Linked DNA regions of Canis lupus familiaris. The protein of the gene in region 1 interacts with the protein of each later gene in a pairwise test. Links are inferred from orthologs where the notes say so. Each region holds a gene or a part of one and is shown in the gene's direction. Other genes may lie near its edges.

What was found. The genes of interacting proteins can lie anywhere in the genome.
Region 2: the proteins of RGS2 (region 1) and LRFN1 interact in a two-hybrid assay, tested with the Homo sapiens proteins (2 studies listed by BioGRID and IntAct). The link is inferred for Canis lupus familiaris from reciprocal best matches to the Homo sapiens genes RGS2 and LRFN1.
Region 3: the proteins of RGS2 (region 1) and WDR74 interact in a two-hybrid assay, tested with the Homo sapiens proteins (2 studies listed by BioGRID and IntAct). The link is inferred for Canis lupus familiaris from reciprocal best matches to the Homo sapiens genes RGS2 and WDR74.
Region 4: the proteins of RGS2 (region 1) and DDR1 interact in a two-hybrid assay, tested with the Homo sapiens proteins (2 studies listed by BioGRID and IntAct). The link is inferred for Canis lupus familiaris from reciprocal best matches to the Homo sapiens genes RGS2 and DDR1.

The regions. Positions count from the first base shown.
Region 1 is NC_049259.1:6,817,518-6,823,213, reverse strand, and holds RGS2 (regulator of G-protein signaling 2), read left to right. Parts: upstream 1-2,062; 5' UTR 2,063-2,111; coding exon 2,112-2,221; intron 2,222-3,245; coding exon 3,246-3,347; intron 3,348-3,450; coding exon 3,451-3,512; intron 3,513-4,090; coding exon 4,091-4,257; intron 4,258-4,531; coding exon 4,532-4,726; 3' UTR 4,727-5,391; downstream 5,392-5,696. Other genes in the region: protein SPT2 homolog, read right to left, coding at 801-954, 1,655-2,055. UniProt on the Homo sapiens protein: Regulates G protein-coupled receptor signaling cascades. Inhibits signal transduction by increasing the GTPase activity of G protein alpha subunits, thereby driving them into their inactive GDP-bound form.
Region 2 is NC_049222.1:114,669,982-114,675,461, forward strand, and holds the start of LRFN1 (leucine-rich repeat and fibronectin type III domain-containing protein 1), read left to right. Parts: upstream 1-1,796; 5' UTR 1,797-1,857; intron 1,858-2,022; exon of another isoform or gene 2,023-2,146; intron 2,147-4,409; 5' UTR 4,410-4,527; intron 4,528-5,480. UniProt on the Homo sapiens protein: Promotes neurite outgrowth in hippocampal neurons. Involved in the regulation and maintenance of excitatory synapses. Induces the clustering of excitatory postsynaptic proteins, including DLG4, DLGAP1, GRIA1 and GRIN1.
Region 3 is NC_049239.1:54,372,930-54,378,476, forward strand, and holds the start of WDR74 (WD repeat-containing protein 74), read left to right. Parts: upstream 1-1,863; 5' UTR 1,864-1,937; coding exon 1,938-2,004; intron 2,005-2,087; coding exon 2,088-2,194; intron 2,195-2,280; coding exon 2,281-2,402; intron 2,403-4,460; coding exon 4,461-4,536; intron 4,537-4,677; coding exon 4,678-4,824; intron 4,825-4,969; coding exon 4,970-5,071; intron 5,072-5,547. UniProt on the Homo sapiens protein: Regulatory protein of the MTREX-exosome complex involved in the synthesis of the 60S ribosomal subunit. Participates in an early cleavage of the pre-rRNA processing pathway in cooperation with NVL.
Region 4 is NC_049233.1:792,228-797,735, forward strand, and holds the start of DDR1 (epithelial discoidin domain-containing receptor 1), read left to right. Parts: upstream 1-1,824; 5' UTR 1,825-1,826; coding exon 1,827-1,976; intron 1,977-3,419; exon of another isoform or gene 3,420-3,563; intron 3,564-3,581; exon of another isoform or gene 3,582-3,633; coding exon of another isoform or gene 3,634-3,738; intron 3,739-4,922; exon of another isoform or gene 4,923-5,087; intron 5,088-5,508. UniProt on the Homo sapiens protein: Tyrosine kinase that functions as a cell surface receptor for fibrillar collagen and regulates cell attachment to the extracellular matrix, remodeling of the extracellular matrix, cell migration, differentiation, survival and cell proliferation.

The DNA.
Region 1 (5,696 bases):
AGAGAGGGGCTATTTATCACACGCATTTATTTTATTTTTTTTTCAATTTTTATTTATTTATGATAGTCACACAGAGAGAGAGAGAGGCAGAGACACAGGCAGAGGGAGAAGCAGGCTCCATGCACCGGGAGCCCGACGTGGGATTCGATCCCCGGTCTCCAGGATCGCGCCCTGGGCCAAAGGCAGGCACCAAACCGCTGCGCCACCCAGGGATCACACGCATTTAGTAAGTATTGAATAATCAGAACGTGAAAACTGATGGAAATACTATGCAAGGTTCTTGTAGAGACAGAGTATATGCATGAGAAAAACAGCATTCTTACATTTCACAAACACATCTTGAAGTATTTATTACTGAAATCCAAATGTTTTTTTTTTTTTTTTCCTTTCCATAATGAACTACATGTCTGTTCTCTTTAGTAGTAACTGCAGATTTTACCCTACATGTCAACTACTGGCTGCTCAGGGCACGAAGTTAAACTAGCTCCAATTTCCTTTTGGCAGTTCTAATGCAAAGCTCGGAGAGTATCTGTAGCCTAATCAATACCTTGCTGTGAGTCTTACTTTGTACTTAAATGCTTGATGGGGAAACCATCTGAATATTCCACTGTACGGCTCTGATACCTGAAATCAAGGAGTGAATTGTGTTGAGGTCATCGACTGTGGACCTTCTCCGTTTGTCCTTCCCACTCAAAAACACTTAAAGCCGGCCTTCGCACAGATGATTTTTGAACAATCACCAAATTATGCAAGTAAACCCTTCACGTCTTCTTCTCCTCCCTCCCCCACTTTGCAAGTTATTAAGTGTTCTGGTAAATTCTCAGCCAAGAATGACTCATGAGGAAACCCTGCATCCTTGCACTCCCAGGACGAGGATGGCTCTGGCGCATCACAGTTTCCACGTCTTGGTGTTTCCCTCCGTCTCCTCGTGAGGAGAGCTGGGACTTCTCTGTCCTGGAAGGAGAAGCAACCAAGGATTTCGGAGAAAAAGCTTTGCAACCCCACGGGAAGACCCAATCACGCAGGTTGCGGGGAGCAAGGCTGCACACCCTCTTAAAACACGGCCGTCGGATAAAGTCCCTTTCTCCGGTTCCTTCCCTGCTTACCGTTCAGTCCCCGCAGGGTTCCGGGTTGCCCCCCCCCACCCCACCCCCCGGCCGCGCGGGGGTCGCTGCCCCCGCCCCTGCCCCACCCCCGCCCCCGTCCCCCGCGCCCCCGCCCCGGCCCCCCCGCCCCTGCCCCACTCCCCTGCCCCACCCCCGCCCCCGTCCCCCGCGCCCCCGCCCCGGCCCCCCCTGCCCCTGCTCCTTCCCCCACCTGACCCTGACCCTGCCCCACTCCCCTGCCCCCACCCCGGCCCCCCCGCCCCTGCCCCTGCCCTCCCGCCCCCTCCCCTGACCCTGTCCCCCCTGCCCTGCCCCCCCGCCCCTGCCCCCCGCCCCCTCCCCCTGCCCCCCTCCGCCCCTACCCCCCTCGCTCCCGCCCCCGCCCCCGCCCCGCCCCTCCCTTTCATCTTTTCCTCCCCTCCCAACTCAACGGAGTCGCACAGCGGAAGAGGGGAGGGTCTCCCCGCGGCCTGTTTGCAAGAAATGAGGCGTGGGAAGAGGGCGCGCTCTCCAAAAAACAAGGGCGGGGGGTTGGAAAACATCTTAACTCAAAATAAAGCACTTGCACCCCGGTCCGCTCCCAGCAGCCTCTCCCCGCCGGAGCCTGCACCCCTCCAGGGCCGGGAGCGCCCCCTCCCGTCGTCCCGTCGTCCCGTCGTCCCGTGGCCGGGGCGCGGCTGGCGGCGAGGCGTCCCGGTCCGATCCCACACGCAACCCCGCGAGCCGCCGCGAGGGCCCGAGCGCGCACGGAGCCGGAGCCGGAGCCGGAGCCGGAGCCGGAGCCCGAGCCCCGGACGTCAGCCCACCTCGCTTCGAGAGCCTTCGGCGGCGCCCGTGACCGCCGCGGGCCGGGCCGCCCGCCCCCGCGCCCGGGTGCAGCCGACCAATCGGTGCCCTCGGGGGGCGGGCCCGGCGGCGGAGGCCCCGCCCCCTCCCCGCCGCCGCCCATAAAGGCGGCGCCCGCGCCCCGCCGCGCAGAGCTGCGGCCCCGGCAGGCGGTGGACGATGCAAAGTGCCATGTTCCTGGCCGTCCAGCACGACTGCGGATCCATGGACAAGAGCTCGAGCAACAGCCCCAAGCACGAGGAGAAGCGGGAAAAGATGAAGCGGACCCTGTGAGTACGGCCCTCGGGCGCCCGCCCCGCGCTGCGCACCTGGCGCTCCGGGTTTGCTGCGAACGTGATGACGTTAGGAAACCCTGCGACCCGCGCCTCTGCAGGGAAAAGCAAAAATGTGGAAGAGGGCAATTAGCTAAGTAAGGTTCAATCTGTGTGCGTGAGCCAAGGACTCTCGGGTAGTTTAGGACTGAGAGCATGTTAGATAGGGAGGCGGTGGTGATGAGGAGGATGAGGAGGCTAAGACCTCGCAGGTTGGCTTTGTGGCCCCTGCGTCTAAGGTAGCAGCCGAGGATCCTGGGGCCGAAGCACATCCCCAGCACTGGTGCCTTGCATTATAAGTTCTGATCAGCTTGCACAGCTTCCGGATTGGAATATTTTGGCTGGTTCTGAACATACTCGTTTTAAAATCGCTTTTTTTTTTTTTGACTGAATTGCTTAATTCACCCACTAAAGATTGTGCAGCAAATCATCGTTATGCATCATCTGCTTAAAATGAGTGTTGTAGTTGGGCTGGGGCAGGGGAACTCAGTCTCTCTCTCTCTCTCTCTCTCTCTCTCTCTCGGACACACATACACCCCCTGCCTCATGGCTTCTGGAGTGGTCCAGAGCCTCTTGCTCTAAGGGTAGGAGGGAAATGAACACCCACTGGCTCCAAGCAGTTCCAGTGTTAGGTTTCTTCAAGTGTGAAATGTCTCAGAATTGTAATCAAGGCTGCAGAAAAACTGCGGTCTTTTGTGGGTCAGAAATTGCATCTGTCTTTTTGAAATATGCCATCTAAATTCATTTAAATGTCCTAGGTAGACTTACCCTTGGTTATGAGAGTAGTACTTCTGCTCAGATGAAGGGATGAAACTAATTGCGTTAAGCACGTAGGTGCTAGGTTTAAATGTAAAATGAGTAAGACTGACTTGAAGATTCTTGTTGCTACTGGGTGGCTTTATTTGGTAAAAATGCCTTCAGCTGCCACAGCAATTTCAAACGTTGTCACTTAGTGAATATCTTTTTTTTTTTTCTTTTTAAGATTAAAAGATTGGAAGACCCGTTTGAGCTACTTCTTACAAAATTCGTCGTCTCCTGGGAAGCCCAAAAATGGCAAGAAAAGCAAACAGCAAACCTTCATCAAGTAAGTTGAAAAATCTTGTATTTGCGAACATGAATAGCTAGCTGCTGAGCTGAAAAGAGGAATTCTGATGTGCACGAGCTAATGAGCAGACCTTCTTTTGCAGGCCTTCTCCTGAGGAAGCACAGCTGTGGTCAGAAGCGTTTGATGAGCTGCTAGCCAGTAAATGTAAGTTAACCTTTTGAATTTGATCCATTTCACAAGATATCACAAATATCACAAGAGTCCACAAAGGTGTTCACAACAGAAAAGCAGATTGCTCAAGGGGAATTCAAATTTGCAATCACTAAAGATCTAATGCCTATTTTTCTCCTTTATTTCCTGTTTAACCATAGAAATACATGGTTTCTTCACTGTAGATAGGGAAGGAAAAGTAGCCCAAATTGTAGGGGCAGTTGCTCTTCCTTAAGGTTGAATTGAATCAGCTTTTTCCATTGCATACAAGGTTTCCAGGAGGTTTGGAGCCCGGAGAATTTAGGTTCCCCTCTAAATATTTGCATTAAAAGCAAAGTTAAGTATATTTTGTAGCAGTGTGCCAGCTTATGCATTTTGCCTATTAGCATCTTAGTCTTTAAAAGGCTAAATTCTGAGGGTTACAAGTTTGAGTGAAATATAGAAAATTGCCATCATTTAGAAATAATAAAATATAGGGATGGGAGAATGGTAGTTCTGGAAAAATTTTAAGGCATTAATTGGTCACCCAATTTACATTCTGCATGTTTTTTCCCCCCTTTCTTCCTCCCCAGATGGTCTTGCTGCATTCAGGGCTTTTTTAAAATCTGAGTTTTGTGAAGAAAATATTGAGTTCTGGCTGGCCTGCGAAGACTTCAAAAAAACCAAGTCACCCCAAAAGCTGTCCTCCAAAGCAAGGAAAATATATACTGATTTCATAGAAAAAGAAGCACCTAAAGAGGTAAGGGGGGCAAAAAAAGAACTTCAATTCAGCATATTTTGAATATTCTTAGCACCAAAATGAAACAAAAAGACATTAAATTAAAGGGGGGAGGGACAAGATTGTTTCAAGAAACTAATTCTAGTTTTTAATTCGCTTAATTTCATTTCTTCAATGACTTGGCTAATGAAGCTCATCACACATTATAGTTTTTGCTGCTTGTTTTCAACGATTAAATAGGTATCAGTCCCTAGCTTTGAATATGGAATAAACCCCTTTTTTTTTATAATTTCAGATAAACATAGACTTTCAAACCAAAACTCTGATTGCCCAAAACATACAAGAAGCTACAAGTGGCTGCTTTACAACCGCCCAGAAAAGGGTCTACAGCTTGATGGAGAACAACTCTTATCCCCGTTTCTTGGAGTCAGAATTCTATCAGGACTTGTGTAAAAAGCCACAGATCGCCACAGAGCCCCATGCTACATGAGACGAAAAGGGGAGCCCAAGAGTGGAGGACATTTCATTTTGTTCCTAAGGGGAAAGGCTGCGACCTTCCAAAAAGACTGACCTTGAATTTAGCCTGGGTGTTCAGGAAACATCACTCAGAACTATTGATTCAGAGTTAGTGAATCAGGAAGCTGGTGACTGTGTAGGAGAAGCTTGTGTTGGGACGGCTCCCATAGCTCTGTCTAGAACCCAGGGAGAAGGTGGTCCAAATGTGGTGTGTCTCACTCACACTGGAAAGGCAGGAATGGGAGACCCAAAGGTCTGATGTGACACTGTTGGTCCAAACACATTTAAAATCAATAGGTCTGGGATTATGTGGCCTTAGCTAGCTGGCTGTATATCTTTCCCTAATTCAGTCCATTACCACATAGTGGTTTTAGTTTTAGTTATTTAGAATAAGTAATATTAAAATGTTTACTGTGTGCAAGGGTGTTGAAGTTCATACGACTACAGATCATCAGTACTGTTGTCTCCTGTAACACTAAAACTGAAATGGTCTGTTTGAATTGTTAAGTGTTAGAACAGAACGAGTGCTGTTGTGTAGGAAACTACATTGTTCATGATGAGTGCCAAAAACTGTCCTGAAGGCAGCTAAACTTTGACGTGGTCTTTGAATACTTTTAATAAATTTATTTTGATAAATAATGTCATTGACTATTCGGTTCAGACATGGGGGAGGGGGTTGTGGGTTGTGAGGGAGGGGAGGAGTGCTGTTAATATGGCAGCTACAAGAGAAACCTTTTTCCAGTAAAGGAGAGGTACACCAGGTGATGTGCCTGTCGAGTAAGCATTGACAGTGCTCAGAAATGAGAAGTGATAGGAGTTTGTCTTCCCTGCAGTTAACGTCTCTTTTAAACCTAATAAACATTAGGTAGACCAAGAAAAGTCAGACCGCCTCCTTAGAACCACCCTGGGATCAGACTTTCTAATATAAGCTTGTTGTTAATGAA
Region 2 (5,480 bases), on another chromosome or scaffold:
AAGAGGTGAGTGGGGCCCTCCCTGTTTGGGTTCAGCCACTTTGCTTCCCCATATTTGCGGATCTCCTTTTTTCCACTCCTGTCCATCCCAGGCCCACCCTTTCCTTCTTTTCCCTTCACCTCTACCCTGCTCTGCCACTTGTTACCTATGTCACCTGAGGCAAATTACTTAACCTCCTCATCTGTAAAATAGGGATGTGATGGGACCTCCTTATCTGGTTCCTGGAAGGAGTAAATGGAATCGTGGGTCAGGCCCTTAGAACCATTCCTGGCACACAGTAACGCTGGATGCGTGTCCGCTTTTGCTGTTGTTATGATTCTCTCTCTATCCTCCCAGCCCAGGACCTCCACACCCCATCAGGGAGCACCAGGAACCAGGTTGGGAGATGGAGATGGTGCCTGGGTGGAGGTGGTGATGGGAGTGGAGTTGTTGGAATCTGGAGATTGAGAGAGGGGGGATGTGAATGTCCCCAGGGGGCATCTAATGGGGAGTGGGGGTCAAGACTTACTAAAAGGGAGGTTCTGCAGAGGTGCCGTTGATCTGAGGGACAGGGCTGGCTTGGAGCAGTGACATAACTAGGAAGAGTTTAGGGAAGGGGTTTGGCAGAGGACGTTGATATGGTGGGATCCAAAATGGGAAGAGTTTGAGCTGCCAGGGAGCTGGGGGACTGCAATAAGGCAGATTTGGAGGGGAGGCCTTGTTGGGTTTGGGGGCCTGATGAGTATCTCAGAAAGAGGTGGAGAGTGGGGAAGGGCTGGTGGGGTCAGCTAGTGGGTAGGATTTAGGCAAGAAAGGAGTCTAACCAAAAAAGGAGCAAGGAATCCTGGGTTGCAAGGAAGTTACAGGGAGGAGGAAGGGTCTGCAGGGTCCAAAAGAAAGAGTAGGAACAGGAAGGAGGCAGAGAAAGAATCTGGGGCAAATCAGGGGTTCTGGAAACTAAGCCTTGCCTTAGAGGGGAGGATGGTCTGGGGTCTAATGGGGGTAATGAGGTAACTTAGGGGGAATAAGACATTTTGGGGTCCTCTAGAAATTAGACATGGTCTGGAGTCCCTGTTGAGGGTCAGGGAATGGTTAGTGGTCCTAGAGAGTGGAAGGGCATGGCTGGGGGTCCCCAAGGAGCCATAGGATATGGTTTGGGTCCCCAAAGGGAGTAAGACATGATCTTGGGATGTTGACTTATGGTTTGGGTCTCCTCTGGAAGTTGGGGCATGGTCTGGGGTCTAATGGATGTGATGGTATGCTGTAGGGTCCCTGCTGGGGGTGCTCTGGATTCCCCTTGGGTGCTGGGATATGGTCTGGGGTCCCCGCTGGAGTATGGGGCAGAGTCTGAGGTCACCAAGGAGAGCAGGACATGCTTTGTGGTCCTGCGTGGCTGCAGACCATGGTTTGGGTCCTCAGAGGAGGTAAGGTATGGGGTCAGGTTCTCCTGGCTTTGGGGACCTGATCCCAGGTCTCCGCTGGGAGATCCGAGTCCCCACGCCAGTTGGGGCGTGGCCTGGGGGTCTCTGGGGAAGCCGGCGGGGCTGGGGGTGGGGCGGGGGGAGGGGCCGGGGGCGGGCCGGCGGCTCGGCAGCGGCGAGGGGTCTGCGGCGCGCCCCGGGTGGGGGTCCGGGCGCCGCGGCCGTCCCGCCCGCCCCCTCCGGCCGGCGCCCCCTCCCCCCTTGCGGCGGCGGCGGCGGCGGGGCCCTGGCGGCGGGCGGCGCGGAGGGCGGAGCTCGGCGGCGGCTCGGGAGGGAGGGCGGGAGGCGGGAGGGAGGCGGCCCCGCGGCACCGCGCCCCCTCCCCCGGCCCTCCCCCCACCATGGCGCGGAGCGAGGCGGCGGCGGCGGGGCCGGGCCCGGGGCCCCCCCGGGCTGGGTGAGCGCGGCCCGCAGCGGCCCGGGAGGCGGCGGGCGGGGGCGCCGGTGGCAGCGCGGGTGTGAGCGTGCGAGCGTGCGAGTGTGTGTCCGCGGCGCTGCGGCGGGCCCGGCGTGCGCTCGCGCGGCCCTGTGTGTGCCCGGCGCCGGCGTGTGCGGCGCCCTGCTTGTGTGGCCATCGGGTGTGTGCTGGGTGTCGAGCCGAGGTGCTGTGTCCGGCCGCGCGCGTGTGTCCCCCCGGCTGTGTGTCTGGGGGGCTGTCGCGCGCCCATCGGAGGGGCTGTGTGCAGGTGTGTGTGCGTGGGTTGTGTGCCCAGGTGTGGGTCCCCCCGCCCCCCCTCCAGCGAGTGTGCGCGGGGCTGGCTGCGTTGGGTGTTTGTGTCCAGGTTGGATGTCCATCCTAGGGTTTGTGTAGCCGGGTGTGCCCGTCCGGGTGTCCATTTGTGGTGTGTGTGTGTGTGTGTGTGTGTTGTGTGTGTGTGTCTGCGGGTTGTATGTCTCCGAGGGTGTGTGTCTGTGCGTCCATGTCAGGTTCCGGCGGGGCTGGGGCTCATTCCTTGTGGGTCCAGGCCTCTGTGTGGGTTTGGGGGAGGGGAGTTTGCCGCTCCCTGGGTCCATGTCAGCTGGGGGGTCCTCGGCGGTCCTTGGGGGAGACGGCCATGTCTTCCCCTTCCCGGTGACTGGGGGGGGATGGGCGGCCGGTAGGTGGACAGATGGAGGGATGAGAGGCCGAGGGATGGACAGATGGGCCTAGGGGAGGGGCACCGACCCGGCCCTTCCCCACCCACCCCACCCCAATCCCCCCACCCTACCAGATCTCTGGCAGATGGGGCCGGAGTTGCCCGCATACAGATGGCCAGGCCGGGGGACCTTTGGGCTGCCAGTGGGAGGACAGCCTTGTAGCCGGGCTCTAGGACTCAGCCCCCCAACCCTTGAGACTCCACCTGCTGAACTCTGACCTCAGGCCTGGCTTGTGCCTCCGTTGGGGGGGGGTGGGATGTGCTGGGAGGGAAGGATGTTAGGATTTCTTTGGCCTGGGAAGTAGGTGGGGTGGGGGTACCTCAGAGCTAGGAGGGATGTGTGTTCATGACTGTGTGTGAGTGTGAATCTATGCCTATCTGTTGCCTATGCTACTGTGGTTCAGTATTTTATGTGCATTTTGGAAGTGTGTAAATCTCTCACAGGGCTGTTGTGTGAGCATGTGTCTGGAATGAGTGAACATCCCAGAATGTCTGTGCAAGGTGCATCTTTCTGTGGCTGTGTGCTTGAGTGTGTATCAGTTTTGTGTGTCTGTGTATGCTTGTAGTTCTGTGTATGTATGTGAGGTGTGTATCAGCTAGCGTGTATGTTTGTGCATCTGTTGGTATGGGAATGTATCAGTTTTGTGACCATGCATCATGGGGATATGTGAAGTTGTATGAGTGTGTATGAGTGTGTTTGGGCATTTAAGAGCATGCACCTGTGTATCACTTGTATGTGCAAGTGAGTATATGTTATATGCGTGTGCCCCTGTGTGTTGGCTAGTGTGCAAGCATATATCTGTTATAAGTGCACGTATCTGGTTGTCTGCAAGGGGGCACATGGCTTCCTCTGTTGTATGTGTACATGAGTATGTATGAATGTGCAAAGGAAAGTCAGTGTTGTACATATGTGGTTGTGGCCGCAGGTGTGTCCACCTTGAGGGTGTGTGTCTCTGTTGTGAGTCCATTTATGTGTCAGTGTTGGTCTCTGGGGATTGGGGTTGTATAGGTTCAAACATATGTGCAGGGCAATATGCACCCATGTGTCTGTCTCTCTGGTACAAGGCTTACCTCAGTTCTTGGCCCAGTGAGATTGGGGCCTGTGTGGTGTGACCTGTGGTATGCTGGGGTCCATCCGGGAGTCCAAGGACACAAGTGTGTCCACACACCAGGCCAAGGGCCCACGGAGGGTGGGCGCACACACCATGCTGGTGTGTCCATGGAAATCCAGATGGAGAGAATTGTATTGTGGGTCCATGTGGGTTTTGGCATGTCCACATGTGTTGGTATGACAGTGGTGTAATGGTGAGGATGGGGACCTCTGGTTCTTTCCTATCCTCCATATCACTCAGCTCTTTAAAGTTGGGGGACTGGGATGTGAACCCTGGAAGGAAGAGGCTAGGCGCCTGTAATCCTGGATCTGGAGGAGGAGCAGCTGGGAGGCCAGATTCCTGAGCCTTGAGAAAGGAAGAAAGCAAGAGTTGGACTCTGGAGTTTGAAGAAGGAAGAGTCTGGGGTTGCAGACACCACAGTCTTGAGGGAGGAGGGGGCTGGAGTCTGGCCTGGCGAGCCCACAGAGGACAAAGGGTTAAAGTCCTGGACTCCCAGGTTTGGAGGGTGAACAGTCCTGAGGCCCAGACTCCCTGGATTCCAGAAATGACTCGCCGAGTCTGTCTGAGACTATACAGAGCCTGCAGCAGGAGGGTGGAGAGAATGATCACACCAGGGACTTCCGTGGCTGAGATGGTCTCTGAGGCAGGTCTTCAGAGAGGAGCCCGAAGGATGCTAATGGGGTCATTTTATTCCTTTGCAGGTACCGGCCCAGGCCCTGACTCCCCGCAGAGAGGTGAGTGGGGTCCTTCAGGCTGGGGAGAGAGATGTGGAGTGATTGGGCCTGTTCTGAGCCAGCTGGAGGCCTGGAGCCCTGCCTGGTATGGATTTCAGGGCAGGGTATGGCAGTGTCCAAGGGGCGGGGGTGGGGGGAATCTTAGGGGGGACAGTGACAACAAGGTCACAAGCATGGTTGGGTCAGGGCTGGTGGGAGAGCCAGGGCGTGGGTGGTAGTGGGAGTTTCAGGCCTGGAGGCATCCCCTCTCTGGATGGGTAAGGTCACTGGGACAGGGAAGACTTGTGATGACATCGGAAAAGGGTACAGAGAGTCTGACAACATGAAGTGACCCCCTGCATTTGGAGAGCGGCATAAACAGTTTACCATTTTGTGTGTGTGCGTGTGTGCACATGTGCGTGCGTACGGGAAGATCTCCTGGTCGCCTGACCTGCTGGTGGCTGAGAGAGAGCCAGAGAAAATGATATGTTAATAATAATAATAATAATAATAATAATAATAATAATAATAATGGCTGCTAATATTTACGCAGGGTTTACTCTGACAGGAACTATTCTAAACATGTTATACTGTGTTATCTCTGAATACTTCCAACAACCCCATGAAGTAGGTGCTATCCTTATCCCCATTTTACAGATGAGTACACCGAGGCACACAGAGGGGAAGTCACTGGATTCAAGTGGCTCAGCAGGGAACTGGGTTATGAGCCTGAGCAATCGGGTCCCGGCTCTTCCTTGCGATGCTACACTGCCTCTCAATAAACACCAGCTAGTTCCATTGCTGTTATTATTCCTTCAACTTGAGCCCCACCCCAGCAGTGGGAGGCAAAACCACGTACTTGTGCTTCATAGGTTGGGGTTCCGAGCCTTAGAGACCCCACAGCCAAGCAGGTGCAGAGCTGGGCCTCCTAGCTCAGGAACTCCGCTGCTCAGGCCAAGGTTTTCTGACTCAGATGGAGCGGTCTCCCAGGTGGAGCACAAGACAAATTAAAGGGGGGCGCTCAGAGATGGTGGGATGCCCTGACTCTGCCTCTTATGC
Region 3 (5,547 bases), on another chromosome or scaffold:
TTTTTAATTGTTATTTATTTATGATAGTCACAGAGAGAGAGAGAGAGGCGCAGAGACACAGGCAGAGGGAGAAGCAGGCTCCATGCACCGGGAGTCCGACTTGGGATTCGATCCCGGGTCTCCAGGATCGCACCCTGGGCCAAAGGCAGGCGCCAAACCGCTGCGCCACCCAGGGATCCCAACACTGTCCTGTGTTGATGACAGCTGAAACAGGTGAAGTAGTGACTGCCTGTTTCTCAACCGGCCAGCAACTTAACTTGGTTTCTCTCAGGTTAAGCAGTGTTCCACGAAACTCTTTCTGAACTCAAGATGTTTTAAGGAATAACAGCGAAACAACTGCAAGGAGCTCTGTTGGGACTCGATCCTGGGACTCCAGGATCCCGCCCTGGGCAAAGGTAGGCGCTTACAATGAGAAAACCCACCCAAAAGAGGCTCCTGCAAGATAAAGGATTTAAATGTAGAACTTTTTTTTTTTAAGATTTTTAAAAATTTTTATTTATTTATGATAGTCACACACACACACACAGAGAGAGGCAGAGACATAGGCAGAGGGAGAAGCAGGCTCCATGCAGGGAGCCCGACGTGGAATTCAATTCCTGATCTCCAGGATCAAGCCCTGGGCTGAAGGCGGCACTAAACCGCTGAGCCACCCGGGCTCCCTAAATGTAGAATTTTAAAGATAAGGGCGAATTTAGGTTTAGTTTAATGCTGTGCTATTTCAATACCAGGTTGGGGGGGGGGGGGGCGGCAGTGCCCAAGGAGGCCAATAGCAGGTATAGACTGTGAAGTAGAGCCAGGGTGATTGTTTCCTTGGTAATACGACGTTAAGATAAATGTGGAATGTGATGCCCAGAACTCGCACCAGCAGCTCTGCAGCTGAGCTGCAAACGGAGGCTTGTTTCTCTGTAGAGGCCTGTGCAGGCAAAAGTGGGATGTTTTTATTCTTACTGGTATCATCTCAAACAGTCAAGTTTTTGCTACTCTAATTTCAGAGAAGAAAAATCTCTCCATAAGAAAACAGTAGTCACTCAAAGAAGGGGCTGTCCCGACGTTGTAAAGTAGCCGTTTGTCCCTGGGAGAGAAATACTGTTTTAATTTTGCAGATTTTTATTGTCAGTCAGAACTGATTTTCACCATCACCAAACCTCAAGATGAGGAAAGAAAACACGACGTCCCTACCTCCACTTTCCAGATTTCTGCTTTAAGATCGTCAGTTTCATCTTCCCCATCTTTCTTCCTTTTGTCCTTTACACTCGAGGTCGAAGCCATGTGCCTCATTAGTGATTTGAGTCATTTCTAAAGTGTGCTTTCTTGTTCAGAAGACAAGATGTACATGATGCTTTGGAATAGGGAGACGGACTAGGCCTGGCTCCCCCGGGCGACGCGGTCTGGCTAGGATGCCTTCCGCTCCAAGTGCAAAACTGTCAAGTTACTCCGGATCAGGAACAGGTGTCTCCAGATTCCCTCTTCCTAAAGCAAAACCAGTTGGCGCAGGCAGGGGGTCCTTACTCTTCCCTCTCTCTCTTTTTTTCTTTCTTTATTTTTATTTTTATTTATTTATGATAGTCACAGAGAGAGAGAGAGAGGGGCAGAGACACAGGCAGAGGGAGAAGCAGGCTCCATGCACCGGGAGCCCGACGTGGGATTCGATCTCCGGTCTCCAGGATCGCGCCCTGGGCCAAAGGCAGGCGCCAAACCGCTGCGCCACCCAGGGATCCCTTTCTTTAGTTTTTATTTATTTAAATATCTACACCCAACGTGGAGCGCCAACACGATCCCCAGATCAAAAGTCGCAAGCTTTTCCCAAGTCACCACCAAGTTCCCTGGTTCCGGCTGCTAGAACTCCCGGAGGCGGCGACCGTCCAGATCCGCTCCGCGCGCGCTGGTGACGCAGACGCTGCGCCGGAAGTGCGAGCAGCGGGCTGCCGGGCTCCGTTATGGCGGCCGCTGCTGGGGCACGCTGGAACCATGTGTGGGTGGGCACCGAGACCGGGATTCTGAAAGGTGGGTGGCTGGGCCCGGCGTGGGGAAGGTGGAGGGTGGCCCCCGCTCGTGACCGCGGCGCGATTGACGCCCGCCTCCCGCAGGGGTGAACCTTCAGCGCAAACAGGCGGCGAACTTCACGGCTGCTGGACAGCCGCGGCGCGAGGAGGCGGTGAGCGCCCTGTGCTGGGGCGCCGGCGGTGAGACTCAGGTGAGCGGCAGCTGTTCGGTCCCGAGCTGGGGAGCCAGGGTGCGGCAGCCCTGCTTGATCGTCATCCTGCCCTCTTCTACCCGCAGATCCTGGTGGGGTGCGCCGACAGAACAGTGAGGTTCTTCAGCACCGAGGAGGGTCGATTTCAGGGCCAGAAGCACTGCCCCGGTGGGGAAGGCACGTTCCGAGGCCTCGCCCAGGTCGACAGGTAAGACCGAGCCCCTCGCTGAACGCTCAGATTGTAGGAAGAGCGTGGAGACTCCCTCAGGAAGGCCGAGTAATGACAATCAACCCATAGTGCCACGGACTGGGGCGGGTGACAGGAACCTGTGTCCTACCTGTAACAAGCATTTATTGAATACCTGCTGAGTAACAGGCATGGGGTGAAATGCAAAGGCTGCAGGTAAACCAGATGCATCAGTGAAGTACCTGCCTTCATGGAGTTTGCATCCTCTAGAGTTTTGCATTCTGGCTCCATAATCTTTTGGGTGACCCTGAGCAGGTCATTTAATAGTTTAAAGTATGTTTGAAAACAGAGACTAACAACCACCAACAACACGGTGAAGTTCTCAAAGTAAAGGATAGGAAAGTGCTACCGGTTAGGTAACTTGCCAAACGTTTTCTTTTTCTTCCAAAGATGGAGAAGGCTGTGAATGAATAAGCTGTGTAGGTTTGGTGGTGTTCTGACAAGTGAGATGTAGAAATGTCTGTGTGGGTGAGACATTTGCACTGGGCCATGAAGGATGGGCAGAATTTTGACCGGAAGAGAATAGAGTAAATGCATTTTAGAAAGAGGCTACCACCTGGGCAGAGGCCAAGGATTGGTGTCAGGCTACACTGTAATTATGGGAAAGATAAACAGCATTTGGGGGTTGAAGCCGAGGATGTATTTTTTACTTATTTATTTATTTACTTACTTACTTACTTACTTACTTACTTACTTAAGATTTTATTTATTTATTCATGAGAGACACACACAGGCAGAGACACAAGCAGAGGGAGAAGCAGGCTCCATGCTGGGAGCCTGACTTGGGACTGGATCCCGGGTCTCCAGGATCACGCCCTTGGGCTAAAGGCGGTGCTAAACCGCTGAGCCCGAGGATGCATTTTAATACAATATGAGCAAGCTAGGTAGGTATTAAATGTCTTTCATAGCCAGGCTGAGATTTTTGCGCTTGTGATTTGCAGGTGATAGGGGGTATTGCGTTTGAGCAAGGAAAATGGATTGGAAAGAGCCGTGGGGAGGCTGTTGCCACAGTCCAGGCAAGCGACACAGCCTGAACCGAGGTAGAGAAGGTGGGCAGACATGAGAAAGAACATAGGCTCAGATTCTGCAGCTCCTATTCCTGGGAGAGACTTGCTTGGGGTTCATGGGAGGGGTGCATACTTTGAGGGCAAGATTGATATTTACCATCTGGAACTCCAAACAGGGAACTCGAGGGAAGAAGCTAGTGTTTGATTTTGGCCAGATCCTAAATTTAGACCAGTCCCACTTCACCAGAGCTACTGATCCTGACTCCTGGTGACCCACTTAAGATTCAGAAAGACCAGCAGGGCCAGGTGCCCCCAGACATAGCTGTGGAATAGCAAAGGCTTTCTGCTTTGGAGTGTCACAGACTTGATTTCCAGCTCTGGTTCTGACATTTATAGTTGTGTAGGCAAGTCTTATCATTTCTGAGAGCTTTAGTCTCCTCACTCACAAAACTGATAAGCCCTCCTCTTGTTGAGGATATTAAATAACAGACCTGGAAGGAGAGAATCTTGTAATAAATCTGGGAGTGGGTCCACTGGGGTCTAGAGATTACTTTTACACTTACTTTTCTTTTTCTTTCTTTCTTTCTTTCTTTCTTTCTTTCTTTCTTTCTTTCTTTCTTTTCTTTCTTTCTTTCTTTCTTTTTTCTTTCTTTCTCTTTCTTTCTTCTTTCTTTCTTTCTTTCTTCTTTCTTTCTTTCTTTTTCTTTCTTTCTTCTTTCTTTCTTTCTTTCTTTCTCTTTCTTTCTTCTTTCTTTCTTTCTTTCTTTCTTTCTTTCTTTCTTTCTTTCTTTCTTCTAAAAATTTTATTTATTTATTCATGAGAGACATACAGAAAGAGAGGCAGAGACACAGGCAGAGGGAGAAGCAGGCTCCATGCAAGGAGCCCGACATGGGACTTGATCCCAGGTCTCCAGGATCACGCCCTGGGCTGAAGGCAGCACTAAACCACTGAGCCAGCCGGGGTGCCCTACTTTTCTTCTTTTAACCTAACTCTATCCTCCTCTGTCTGCAGCACCCTCATCACATGTGTAGATTCTGGGATTGTCCGAGTCTGGCGTGAGAATGACAAGGAGGCATCCTCTGACCCAGTAAGGCTCCCCTGGCTTGCCAGTGATGGTTGGGGAAGGTGGGGGCCAGGAACCAAGTGAGGGCTTTGGGGTAAGAGGATTAAAGAATTAAAGACTATGGAACTGCTTCTCATCTCCCCTCCTATCTCCTCTTCTTTTCAGCTCTTGGAACTGAGTGTGGGTCCTGGGGTGTGTAGGATGCGCCAAGACCCAGCTCACCCCCACATGGTTGCTACGGGTGGGAAAGAGAATGCTTTGAAGGTGTGGGACCTACAGGGGTCTGAGGAACCTGTGTTCAGGGCCAAGAATGTAAGTAACGGGTGGGAGGTTCTGGGGCTGAGGCCACTGACTGAGTCAGAGACCAGGTGGGCTTTAGGGGATGATGATAAAGGGCTGAAGGAAAGGGCCTATGAGCCTCCCACAACTTATCTCCCATCTACCCACCCCTGACCAGGTACGGAATGACTGGCTTGACCTGCGAGTTCCCATCTGGGATCAGGACATACAGTTTCTTCCTGAGTCTCAGAAGCTTGTCACCTGCACAGGGTACCACCAGGTGAGGCACCATCCCACTCCTGCCTCCTGGGCTTTCTCTCCTGGAGAAATAGCCTCCCTACACAGGCTCAGTCCTCATCATTTGGCACAGCTATCCTTCTTAGGCTCTGTCCCTGAGTTTTCAGAGAGAGCCTTTCCCCCATCCATCCCAGCCCCATGGCTGAGCCAGTGACCTTCTAGTGCATTCTAGGACGAGTGTTCTGGACTGTGACCCTTTATTTCCTATCTGGAAGGGAGGAGGGAAGAAGAGAATGCCCTTTTCATAGTAGAATCACAGGGTACAGGTGTGATGAGAGGACACTGGGTTGGGTGGCAAGAAAACTGGGTTCTGGTTTTGTTTTGTTTGTTGTTAAGATTTTATATATTCATGAGAGACACAGAAGAGAGGTAGAGACATAGAGGGAGAAGCAGGCTTCTTGTAGGGAGTCCAATGCGGGACTTGATCCCAGGACCCTGGGATCATGACATGAGTTGAAG
Region 4 (5,508 bases), on another chromosome or scaffold:
GAAGTTTCCAGGGAGAGCAGGACTCAGAGGCTGAGATGAGTGTCTAGTCTGGCCTCACAGGGGCTGTTCTGGATCCCCTCCTTCTACCCTCCCCCTTTTGGAAGACAGGCGGAGGAATTTAGGAGAGGTCCTGGGCAGGAAGCAGTAACTTGCCTCAGAACCTCTCCAGCCCTGGTTCTCCTTTTATGAAGAGCTCTGTGCCACCCACCTCAAAGGCTCCAGTGGAGAGGGCCAAATGATAGGTGTAAATACCAGGAAAATATCTAGCCTGTGCACCACTTCCCTACAGGATCTCAGCATTTCCTCATGGCATTCCTGGCTGGGGGTGGAAGGTCAAACACTGGCTAGATGTGGACAGAATAAAGTTGAGATCAACAGTCAACACGCCCTCCCACCCGCACCCCTCAGCTGTTGCTCTCAGATGCTGCCAACACACTGCCACCAGGAACCACCTTTAAAAATCTATTCATGCCGTTTCCCTGCTCAATATCCCAAGGCCCTTCTCACCAACAGAATGAGGCAAACTACTAATGAGATCACCTCACCTCACCTCACCTCACCTCACGCTGCCTCTCTGGGTTTACTCACTTGGGCAGACCCTGACTTCCTGTCACAGCTGCATTTTCACATAACCATGTTCATGCCTCCCTTCCTCAGCCAGGAGCGGCCCTGCCTCATCTCTGCAAATCTCCATCTCACTTAAGGCCTAGTCCAAACTCCGACTCTTCCATGAAGTCTTCCTTGACCTTGACTCAGGACTGGCCTGCTCCTCCCCTGGGTTTCCCTAGCCCCTTCCAGCTCCAGCGCAGGTGATGCTACCTTCTGCGATTATAGACATATACGTATATATATATGCATATACATGTCTGGCTCCCCCTCTTGACTGTAAATGCCTGGGGAGGGTGGCACGGAGTGGGTTGTGTTCCTCAATGTATGTCTTACAGTGCTTGCTTTCAGAGCCCTGCCCGCACAAACCCTTAGGAACTATGGAATCAACTGGGAGGTGGAACTCAGAGACCTGAGTGACACATGAGGGAGCCACAGAGGGAGATCGTGTTAGTGGAGTGTGGCTGGTTGCTTCCATGAAAGGGCCTGCCTGTGCTTTACAGATGCCATCTCACATTATCACAACAGACTCCAGGGACAGGTGTTATGTCAGTCTACTGGTGAGGGAACTGATGCAGTAGGATGCAGCACAAGAAGCTAGATGGTGAGTGGCAAGCTCAGCCCTCACCTCGGAGGGGCCAAGCCTTGCTTTCCCCTCTCCCCACTTGGTACTCTGCTTTCTCTCCCCTCTGTGAGAGGTGTGGTCACTACCTCCCTCCCTGCGCCACCCCCTCCTATCAGTCACCTTCTGCTCTGAGGATCAAATTTTCCAAACTAAGAACTGGCGGACACTGTCTGACAAGGACATTTGATTTCAGAGGTGACAGGTCAGCGTATGTTTGAAGCTGGGGCTGTTCTTGAAAACAGGGTGTCTTTTTCAAAATCCTGAGTGGAGGGAGTGGATTGTTAGGGACCCAGAAGGAGGCCTCCAAGGGCCTGCAGCCAGGCGACGTCTGGATTCTCCCCCCTTGGGAGGACTGGACATCCCCTGCCCGAGTAAGGCCTCAGCCACAGCCAGCCAGTGCAGCCGGCCCGACGCTGCCGCCGTCATCTCCCTTTGTCTGGGGTCTCTTTGTCTGGGGTCTCCCCCTGGTTCAGTTTTGAAGTCCTCTGCCCCCTCCCCTCCTTCCCAGTGGCCGGCCGCTCCCTCCCTCTCCGCGGGGCCGCGCAGCTCGGTCGGCTGGGGGAGGGGCTGAGGGAGGGCAGCGGGCCGGGTTGCCATGGTCACGGCGAAGCCGGCTGCAGCTGGCCGGGGCAGCTGCTCTCAGCCCCGGGAGAGGCGGACAAAGCCCGGCGCCTGGGCCACCCCAGGCCTGGAACCCGGAGGGCTGAGCCGGGGAACTGGGACTCAGGAGAACCCCGAGCTGGAGGTGAGGGGGCAGCGGTGGGGGCTGGAGCTGGGCCCACCCGTCCTGGGGAGGTGGTGTGGGAGGAGGGCGGGGCGTCAAGGATGCCCAGTGGAGTTGGGGGCCACGCCGCTGCCGATGGCTAGGCTCCTCCCAAGGAAAGGTCGGGGCCTCTGTCCTCTGGTCCGTCCCACCGTTGCCCCCTCCTTTCCTGGCCCCTTTCTTGTCATCTCACTCTGTCCCTTCGTTTCAACCCCTGTGCCTCAGTCTCCCTCCTCTTCTCCCATCTCTTGGTTTCACTACAACCCCTTTTCTCCTTTGCCTTGTTGATCGTCCCCCCTGGGCTGTGGGCCACTTCTTAGGGCTCCTCACTTTCCAGCCCTACTTTCTGAGTGCCCACTGCCACTTGGGTCAGCTGCTCAGTCCAGCCCTCTTCTCCTCACATCTCCACCTCCTGCCTTCTGCTGTGTGTGCCTTCATCTCCATCCCCCTTTCCTTTTTGTGACCCCCATTCCCTCCCTCTGAGTTCCAGCCCTCCCACCTCCCATCCCCTCCCACCCTCTGGGCTGCTGCCTCTGAGCAGCCTCATTTTTCTCCCCATACAAGGTCATCTCTCCCTCCTGCTTCCACTTCTGGGCCTCAGTTTCCCATTTGTACTTAGTGGTATCGAGGCCTGACTCATGGCCGTGGCCTTGCCACCCCCTGGCCCCATCAGTTCTCATCGTCCCCAGCTGCTGGCCCAGGAGGCAGCTGCGTCTCCTGGGGAGGGACTGCCACTAGTGTGTGTGGGGCCCTTGTGGTCCATCCTTCTCACTCTGCCCTGCAGGCCTTCCCTGCAGCGGCGGGTGGTCTGCTGGCCCCTATGTGCCTTTCCTCACATTTTTTTTTAGCTGTTTCCCCTCCTCTCCTTCCTGGGCGGCTAGAGGCCATTGGCTTGGGGGGTGGGTAACCTGGGAGGGACGGCATGGTGTAGGAGATGTTGACCGCCCTTTGGGGGCTGGAGTTGGGAACGATGCGGTAGATGTGGGATGGGCTCGAGGGCCATGAAAGACTGTGTGGACACTCTCAGTCTTTGGCATCGCTCTAGGGGCCCCTGGATAGCTGGGATTTCCCTCTCTGGCCCCTGGGAATCTCGGCTCCGAGCCCCGCATTCCAGCCAGCTCCAGCCCCCTTTCCGCTGTCACTTGACTCCGCTGGGCCCCAGCCCTGCATCCCTCCCACTCTTCCAGCTTCAGGCTGGGTGGAGGTGGCTATCACCGACTAGGAATTTCTCCTGGGGGAGATCAGGGACAAGAGTTTCAGGGTTCTATGGTCTCGTCTTCTCTCCCCAGCGGGCCCTTTTGTCTGGCCCTGCCATGCCACCAGGCTCAGGAGCGTGGGCCTGGGGTGTGGAAGGTCCCAGCCGCGGGTGAGGGGCTTCCCTGGGGCTCTGGCTGCAGCCCAGCCGGGCCTGCCCGCCCAGGGTTCCTCCCAGCTCAGTCCCTGGGAGGAGGGGTCGGGAGTTGGCCCAGGTGAGGTAACTGGGGGAACCTTGGCCCCACCCCCGGCCTGGCTCCACCCCTGGCTCAGCCTCTCCTGGGCCCAGATTCCCCAGCGGCCGTCTTCAGAGGGGTATGTGTCCCTGGGAACCTCTAGGTTTGGTCAGAGGGGACAGTGGGGAGAGGCAAATCTCCGAGTGGCCATGGGGCTGTTCGTTAGTGAGCCCCTTAGCAGCTGGACGTGCTGGGATTGGTGTGTCCCGGGTGGTTTGGAGCTCTTGCCCACACTGAGGGCCAACTTCTTCCTGGTAGTACTTTTGTGTACTTGTCTGGTTGGGACTCGGTGTTTCTTTCTTGGGGCTGTTGTCTGGGACTGCACGTACGGTGTGAGTTGCTATCTGTTGTGAGGTGTGGTGGGGTGGAGATCTGCAGTGGACTCAGATCTTTCTGAGCCGGTGACATTGATGTGGGGCTGACAGGTGTGGGTGTGGAGGGATGGTGGCCTGAGGCAGTGCCCAGTGGGGTGCAGCACCTCCCACCACAGGTCCTCCATCCTGCCCACCTCACCCAGCCTCCTTGCCCATCTCTGGGACTCCTGTTTCCGGTGCCTTTAGGTTGTGTCCGATTCTCTCTCTGTCCCCCACAACCTCCTCACCTCGTCCAGGTGTGTCGCTGCCAGTGGTCAGAGCCTCGACCTTACCAGGGCCAGAGCTGGCTGGGCGGGAGGGAGGCTTGCCTGAGGACTCCTGGGCCTTGAGCAGGGAGCCAAAGGGGCCTAGGGCCTAGGAGTCTGGGCCAAAGGGTCCTGAGAGAACTGGGAGTGAGGGGGCGGCAGCGAGGGGGGGCGGTGAGTGTAGAAGGTGCAAGTAGAGAGAGAATGGGGCTAGGAGAGAGTGGGGGCCCTCAGGCTCTGGGGCAGTCTGGATCAGGGTGTAGAGGCCAGAAGGCCAGAGGGGGCCGGAGAGAAGCAAAGGTCGGTGGTGTGAGAAGTGTGGGTCTGGGGACCTGCTTGGACAGGTGAGCCCTGCTCCCTTCCTCCATCCAAACTGCTGCTGCTGGGCTGGCAGCGGGCCTGTGGGAACCTGCTCCTTCCCTGCGCCCTGGGGCTGCCCCCTTCACCTCCCTCTCCAGGAACTGAGCCCAGAAACGGGGAGTAGGGAGGGGGCCCTCCTCTCGCGGGGCCTGGATGTGTGGGAGGCCCCAAGTGGGGCCTGGGCTTCGGCTCTTGCCTTTAGTGGGGACCCTGGGGCCTGGGGGTTGGGCCGCGGGTAGGCGGAGGGGGCTGGGCGCTGGGCGGCGCGGGCCGCAGGGCGGCTACCTGGGGGGGCCCGGGCGAGCCGGGGAATGCTGGGGGGCGGCGTGGGAGCGGCGGGCCCGGCGCGGCCCGGGAGGGGGGGGGGGGGGGGGGGGGGGGGGGGGGGAGGGGCGCTGGGGGGGGCGGCGCCTGGGCCCGAGCCGCCGCAGCCCCGGCTCCTCTCCCCGGAACAGGCCCCCGACAGCTGCTCGCGGGAGCCGCCTCCCGACACCCGAGCCCCGCCGGCGCCTCCCGCTCCCGCTCCCGGCTCCTGGCTCCCTGCGCCTCCCCGCCCCTGCCCCGCCGCCAGGAGGCCCCGCTCCGGGGTCGGCCGCCTGGGTCTGCCGGGAAGAGCGAGGAGAGGTAGGGCGCGCGGCCCGAGGCCCCGTGCGGGGCGGGGGGCGGGGGGCAGGGGCGCGGGCGGGGCGCGGCGGCCGCGGGGGCCTGGTGGCGGAGGCCGGACGTGCCCGGCGCCTCTGGCTGTGCAGCTCGGCCAGGTGGGTCCCGGCCCGCCTTCCCAGTGTGCTGGCTTCCTGTCTGAGAATGGGGGGAACCCCTGCCCCCCGAGAAAGTGAGTTCCAGCTGTGAGGAAGGACCCCTTTCTTTCCTCAGTGTGAAGGGACTCTCCCCCAGGGCCACAGTTGCTCTGAGCGGCCCCGTGAATCATCCCCTCAGCCCGCAGTCCTCCCACCGGGCAGCCCCTTCCCGCACCTACCGCTGAGCGATAACCCCCCACCGTCAGCTCCCAGGGGGCAGCCTGCCCTCAGCCCAGCAGAGAGGCCCT